2 linked regions of the Drosophila melanogaster genome follow. The protein of the gene in region 1 purifies or fractionates together with the protein of each later gene. This does not show direct contact. Each region holds a gene or a part of one and is shown in the gene's direction. Other genes may lie near its edges.

What was found. Proteins that work in one complex are often made in the same cells at the same time.
Region 2: the proteins of HPS4 (region 1) and HPS1 purify together in Drosophila melanogaster (affinity purification with western blotting; one study listed by BioGRID). This does not show direct contact.

The regions. Positions count from the first base shown.
Region 1 is NT_033778.4:17,684,943-17,688,695, forward strand, and holds the start of HPS4 (Hermansky-Pudlak syndrome 4), read left to right. Parts: upstream 1-1,748; 5' UTR 1,749-1,913; coding exon 1,914-1,996; intron 1,997-2,315; coding exon 2,316-2,550; intron 2,551-2,613; coding exon 2,614-2,856; intron 2,857-2,911; coding exon 2,912-3,006; intron 3,007-3,064; coding exon 3,065-3,753. Other genes in the region: CG42561 (uncharacterized protein), read left to right, coding at 32-153, 213-456; CG42562 (uncharacterized protein), read left to right, coding at 901-924, 978-1,102, 1,165-1,396.
Region 2 is NT_033778.4:14,853,429-14,857,181, forward strand, and holds the start of HPS1 (Hermansky-Pudlak syndrome 1), read left to right. Parts: upstream 1-2,000; 5' UTR 2,001-2,083; coding exon 2,084-3,753. Other genes in the region: Ercc1, read left to right, coding at 1-127, 186-374; Ciao1, read right to left, coding at 524-1,531.

The DNA.
Region 1 (3,753 bases):
CATACCATTTTCAAATCATAATAATATTTAGCTGTTGGCAATTTTCATCTTCACTGCGGTCAACGCGGCACCGCAAATTTCACCAACTATCGTTCCGCAAATCCGCACAAATGGCTTTCAACTTGAGCCCCTCAATCAAGAATACTTTCTCAGGTAGCTAATCAAAGTCCAGAAGAGAGCTTCCCTTTACTTAGTTAGTTCTGAATCTGTAGAATCGAACATCCGGGTGGCACTATTCGCCAGGAATCCGTGAGCCAGAATGAAGCCGGACATCTGCAGGTTAAAGGTGTGATTAACCAGCCCTTCGAGGATCAGGATGCCAATCTTATTGTCACCTATGAGGCTGGTCCGAATGGATATGTTGCCAAATACAGCTTCGGCAAGGGTCCTCCAACACCGCCTCCTGACACACCATTATTCCTCAGTCCCGGTGCTCTGAAAACTGCAGCGGGATAGGATTTTGACTGAATATTTAGAAAACATTAAAACCACAACTTGCCGTAATTTATATTAAACCAATTCTGTATTTATAAGTAACAATAAGTAAGTTTATAATCACTCACTAGTTTATAGAAATCAATAAACTAGCTAGACTTTCTTAACTATAACAAATTGTTATACTTATTATTGTTAATTGGCTAAGCCCTATTAAAGCAACTTATTAGGTGACTCGGTCAATGATTCACTGTGGCAAGTTTTATTGTTATGTTATGTAAATCCCTGTTGACAGTATTCAAAAATCACATCTTATAGCTATACTATAAGCGGAGAACGATTTTTGAATGTGTTTATTAATGATTCCAGTTTTGAACTTGGTTTAAGTTTAGCTGTTTATTTGTTAGCTGTTTGCTGTCAGCTATCTAAAAACATCAGTCGCTAACCAAAAGCCAAAAGATCATCATGGCTAACCTATTGTTAAGCTCAGTGAGTTTTTCTCATAAGTTTGCCTGCCAATCGTTGTATAATATTTGCTACAGGTGTTTTTGATTCTGTTTCTAAGTCTGGTGAATTCGGCGCCCACAACTTCAGTTACCAAATTCGTGCCGCCCATAAACGATAATGGAGTTGTGCTAGTGCCATCTGAGAATAATTATTCCCTGAGGTAAACAAAAAATGAAGTTAAGATAATGCTGTAAGCTCAACCAAATGGCTTCCATATTGTAGGATTGATCTCGACGGTTCAACGCGGGATGAGATTGTTGAACAGATTGCGCCAGATGTGCTTCAAGTTAAGGGTACTTATAGCCAGCGTTTTCCTGGTTCGAAATACCTGCTGGTCACCTACAAAGCTGGTCCCGATGGATATGTGGCCAAGTATAGCATATCTAGCCAATCGGATACTGTGAACCAGATTCAACAGTTGCCACCCAATGTGTTGAAAACAGCTGCTGGATAGAGTTGTTATGATAGTTTAAATAAACATTGTATTACGCGCAATAAAACAGACAAGGTCTCTGTTGTTAAACATATATAAAATCTTATTAATGATATTTGAAAATCATTTGCCTCCGAGAGCTTTTTATAAAATATAGCATTGGTAATCGAATTTGTTACACTCTAAAACTGGAATCGATACCTTCGTCATTGAAGTGGTCACCACATGGATGAATACATTATACGAGAGCATAGTTGCTCGTATACCCACCCGCTCAACCGCAATGATGGAAACACTCGGAAGCTTTCACCTCACTTCTCACCTGCTGGTTCACTTGGGCGTGAGCGGAATTCTGATCACGCTCTCGTATCACAGTTGGTCGTATCAGGCAGCTGGGCCACATCGAAATCAGACAGTTGGCATTGTACGGCGCTATTGGCTTGTTGACTTATCAGAATCGTCGGTCGTTAAATGTGATAAGGAGCCACGATGCAGCGCTAGACTTGGAAGCACCGAAATCCACTAGATTTCAGGAGCAATGTTTCGGGATTGGCGCAAAACCAAGCACAAGCGATGGCAGAAGGTGCAGCAGAAGCAGCAGACCTCAATCCTCACCGAAAGGTTGCTCATTTCATACTCAAACTGTGTTTCCAGTGCACAAATATCTACAATGAATTGCATTAAACAACGTCAAACAAATTGAGATTGCATAAATCCAATTTGTATTTGTGTAAAGTTTTTTTTGCATACCGGTTTTGCTACAGCACTTGTTGTATCAATTCTTGAACAAGTTTTAAGATTCAGCTCACATTTTACAAGGGAAAATAGTTGAACGTAATTTCTCCAAAGCTTTTCCTTAACATTAGAAACTAAGCTAAAATATATTTCCCCGTCTCAAAGTCTCAATAACAATAACCCTTGAACTTTATTAAATTTACAGGGAGACGATGATTGTGTTTGTCTACGACACAGAGTGTCTCACAGACGAGGCGGATGATCCCATATCGGCGGTGCTCTACTTCCATCCAAGCTGGGTGTCCGACTCCCAGAAGGTGGCTCTGTGTGGTCAGCTTATGGGCACGTCGTATTTCCTCAAGGATTGCTTCTTTAATCCCCGCATCCTGGCGCTGCAGAATGGAAAATTTGTGCTGAAGGAATTCGGTCGTTTTATTCTGGTAAATCGAATCACATAATTTCACTTTTCTTTTATTAATCCGATGGAGTATTCTGTTTTCCAGGCAATTGGCACTGATCGAAATATTGGAGATCAACTGTTGGAACATCGTGCTGATCTGCTGAGTTCCCTGCTCAAGTTTTTCCACCGTGACGTCCAGACATTGTATGCCCAGTATGCTGCACCGCCCGCCCTGAACCGCCGGAATCTCAGCGAGAAACTGTACCACATCTTTGAAACATATCTGCCGATGCTGCAGCGCAACGGAAATACATTTCAAAATGTGCCGAGGCTGCGAATGCCAAAGGTGAGTGGTTAAAGTAACAAACCGAATTACCTAGATAACCAAGATTCTCTTCCAGACGGCCAGTCATATATTCCTGGAGGCTATACAAACGTTGCAAAGTTGCCAGCAGACAAAGGGAATACTTGGCGGAGCGATTCTGTACCACAACAAGTCAGTTAATCCGGCTAAAGTCTGAACAAATTGTAAATTCAAATACCTTGTCTTTTAGGGTGGTTGCCTCGCAACTGAGCGATATGGTGACCAAGCATCTTGTACTCACCGATCCTCTGCACATCCGCACTGCGGCCGAGCAAGTGACCAACCATCCTGAGTTCCACATACCCAACGGCGTTCAGATGCTGGTGGTTTATTTGGAGCATATGCAGTACCGCCAGTTAGCTGGCGAGGCACAGCGCGCCCAGAACCTGCAGATGAACACAGCTCAGCTCACCCAAAATGGTATGCCGTTTCAGTATGCCAAGCGTAAGATAAAGCGGGACAAGTCGCTCATTTTTACCCATATACCCGAGGAGGAGCACGCCCCGGAGCAGCAGGGAGCAGTTGAACAGCTACCACCAGCCAGGCCCAAATCTATGCGACCCACCCACCTGCCGTTGCGTATAAAAAGCATGCAGAGCAAAGAGCTACCGGAGTCTGGCATTGCATCAATAAATTTCGACGAAACCGATTCCTATCCGCAGTTCATTGGACGAACCAGCGTTTGCAATACTCCAATGACCGAGAACAAGGTACTGCCGGTGGCCAATGTTATGTCCATTTGCGCAAATCCCGAAGATGAGGGCAAAGAGGAGGATATTCACAATTCCAATGGCAAGACACATTCGCGTCGAAATTCTCTAAAAGTGGATGTGGAGAAATTCTTTCAAAACTTCATTAGCAATCCAAACAAACAGCTCA
Region 2 (3,753 bases), 2.8 Mb from region 1:
CGACCTGACAATGATGTTGGCCTGGAACGCTGAGGAGGCGGGCAAAATCATTGAGACGTACAAACAGTTCGAGAAGCGTCCGCCAGATTTGATCATGGAGCGAGTGGAGTCTAATCCACACCAGAAGGTACGCATGTTTACATTGCCAGTATCGCCACTGTAATGCAATATCCCAATGTCCATAGCTACTCGCTGCTCTCACCAACATCAAGCCGGTGAACAAGACTGATGCTGCCGCCTTGCTGCACACCTTTGGCAACCTGGGCAACATAATCAATGCCAGCGAGGAGCGACTCTCCCAGGTGATGGGACTGGGTCCCCGGAAGGCCAAGAAGCTGTACAAAACGTTGCAGGAACCGTTCCTCAGCAAATAGCAATCCATATTAGGTGTAATGCATCCCATAATCGTGTATGACACACTTCATCCATCATTTGAATACTTTAATTTTTTATTACGCAGACACTGTACAAAAATTAAGTTCCAGAATTACCCACTTAAATATATCAAACAATAATCCTTATGTTACTCGGTCACTTTCCAAATTTTAATGGTGCCATCATCGCTGCATGATATCAGTTGCCCGGCCACCACAGGATTCCACTGCACCGAGTTTACGTCCTGATCGTGAGCGCCTTCCTCCGCGGTTATCTGCTCGAACGTGGGTTCGTCTGGCTTGGAGTCGCTGCTCTCCTTAAAGATACGAATGCCGTCGTCGCCACAGGCAGTCGCTATCAGACCTGTAAGCTTGCACCAGGACACGTCGTAGATAGCCCGCGAGTGCTGCCCGGACACTGTGCACACGCACTTCCACACGGTTTGCTGGTCGGGCGTAGCCACTCCGGCTGTATTTCCGGGATGGTAGGCCCTCCAAATCTTTATTGTGGTGTCATCGCTACAGGAAACCAGGCGCTCGCCATCAGCATCGAAGTCAATGCCCCAAACCGTGCTTGTGTGTGAAGTAAGAGTGGCTGTGCAATCCCAGTCGTTGTCTATGGGCTCCTCTGCGAACATTTTTATGGTATTGTCGTACGAGGCGGAGGCCAAAATGTCCTTGGTTGGATGCCACACCACTCTCTTCACGTCCTGTGTGTGCGGGTTCAAAACGGCGGCGCACTCGAACTCATCATCGCCGGCAACCTCCCAGATCCACACGGACTTGTCCCGCGAACAGGTGGCCAGTAGTCCGCCGGATCGCGACCAGCTAACGCTCTTCACCTCGTTTTCGTGACCCTCCAATGTTGCGTTGCATTCGAATTCTCCCGAGGATTTCGACCAGATCGCCGTGGTGGCATCAAAGCTGGCCGAGGCCAAGTACTGACCGCATGGAGACCATCGGATCTCGCGAATAGTGCGCTTGTGGCCATCGGATAGGATGGTCTTTGTGCTCCAAGTGTTCCCGGTCAGCGACCAAATGCGGATGGCTTTGTCCTCGCCGCACGAGGCGAATACGTTGCCCTTAGGATGCCATGCCACTCCCCAGATGCGCCCCTTGTGGCCCTGCAGCGTGTGTTCCAGAATTAAACGTCCCATTGATGGTCAAGTGCTGTATTAGTGGACAAATCACTGTCTGTCCAAATAATGATAACATAAGCGCATGTCGCAAGAAGAAGAAAGTCAGCTGTCGTCAGTGTGGTCAAACGTCGGCAGAAGTCGTTCATCTAGCTTAATTTGTAAATCGGGATAAAATTAAATTTTAAAATTGTGTTCTTCATATCTAAGCAAAGCGATATTGCTTTGCAATAATAAAAAAATGCAATAAATTTGAAAATTCATATATTATAAATTATAAATTAATTTGATCAGGAAACTTATTACAGTTCAATACTTAGTAACTCAACTAAAAGCAATTTCAATTGGCAATTCGGATAAAAAAAGTCGAACGTATACTAGGCTTTTAATATATAATTCTGGCTTGAAAAGCGTTGAATTGCTCAGAGCTGAATCGCTCTAGTGTTGTTAAATGCTGACTTGAAGTCTTCACCTTTTCTTATCAGAACACACACCGAATTCCGTTACCCAGCACCAGTGACACTGGTGAAAGTTTTGTTGTGTATTTGGTGTTTTGCCAATGCTGATAAGAAAATGAACGGACTGATTGTGTTTAACAGCGCCAACGATGTTGTATACCAGAAGCTTAACGAGCCGCTGGCGCAGAAGATCCGGAGTGTGGCCACCACCCAGGGCCTGCTCCAGTCCGGCGGCTCCCTGGACAGCAACATACTGCTGCAGATTTTCAGCCCCATCGTTGGATCTCAGCGAATAATGCAGTGCCAGTTCGATAATGCCTACTCCAGCCTGCAGTGTGAGCAAGGCTTCAATTTGGTGTTCGGCGAACTTCTTGGCTTCACCTTTCTGAAGATCGGACAAATACCCGTGGAGCTGCTGGGTCGCCAAATGGGTGTGGCCATTACGCTGACGCGCTATTGTTACGGCGCCAATTTGTTTGCCGCCCAGGCGGGGGCCATGCAACAGGAGTTGCTGACGCAGTGCCTCGACTGCTATGAGACTTTGTTGTGGGAGGAGGATCAGACGTACCTGCTGGAGGCCATGCCCAGGCTGCTGATCAACACGGAACTAAAGAGGACAGTGCATCTGACGCTGGACGCCACGCTTGAGCACTTGCGCCAGCTCGGACTGCCCCGAGCCCACGCCCTGTTGCTCGTTTCCAACAAGCTGGTGGCCGCGAACAGCACTCGGCAAGCTCTGCCGCTTGCTGCCGCCGACCTACTCTTCCTCAGCCTCATGTCACGCGCCCTGCAAGCGCCAAAGTCCCCTTCCCAGCGAGCAGTAGCTGTATTCCTGCAGGGTGTCTCCTATGATGTGAACTCTGGCTGCGTTCCCAGTATCGTGCACATCTCGCGTCTCCATGGTAACCAAGTTCTCCTGCAGGTCATCGAGTACGCCCACATGCCACTGACCAGCTGCATCTACGATTCCTTCTTTGTGCTTCAAAAAATCGTGGCTGTTCAGCATCAGGGCGATTCGGATGCCCTGAAGCCCGCCTTCGAGAACCTCGAATCGTTTATTGTGCAGGCCTTGACCGCTTTGAAGCGATATCTGAAACAGCGATCGGAAACCGATGACCTAGAGAACTGCACGAAGAAGTTCGCCGCTAAATGGGAGAATCTTCGCAAGATGTACACTGAGTACTTCAAGAACTTTGAGCGGGAGCTGCTCGTGAGGATTGAGTCGAATTTGCCCTCGTTCGGAGAGGAACTGAAGCAGATATTCACACTGGCCTGCTGCGACAGCTCAAGTGTCCATGAGCTGGATCAACTCTCTGATACGGCAGCGAATGTGGAAGCCAAGCTACTGGAGTTCGCTGAATTTCTGGCCGTTAAGGCCACTCGTAACATATCCATTGATGCTTATTTGGAGGATTTTCCGGGTCTGGTGCACTTTATGTACGTCAATCGCAGCCGAGGACAAATGCTTGCTCCGGATCTGCGACCGAACCAGCTGGTGCCAAAGACAAAACTCTGGAGCATGGTGGAGATCGCGAGAAATTACCTTAAGAAGGGCCAGACCACAGTGATGTGGAAGGATAAGGCATTCCATTACTCGTACTTCCTCTGGTTCGAGGACATGTCTGGTGGCGTTCTTAGTACCGTCGTGGATTTGCAGCACCACTTTCTGTCCACAGGAGCAGCCAGTGGCAACGGTTCGAAATCCCCAACAGAACCAGGTGCTCTTACAATGGACTATTACCACGATCTGGCGGAGTTGTGCTTCCCCAAGCTGTCACCGGCCAA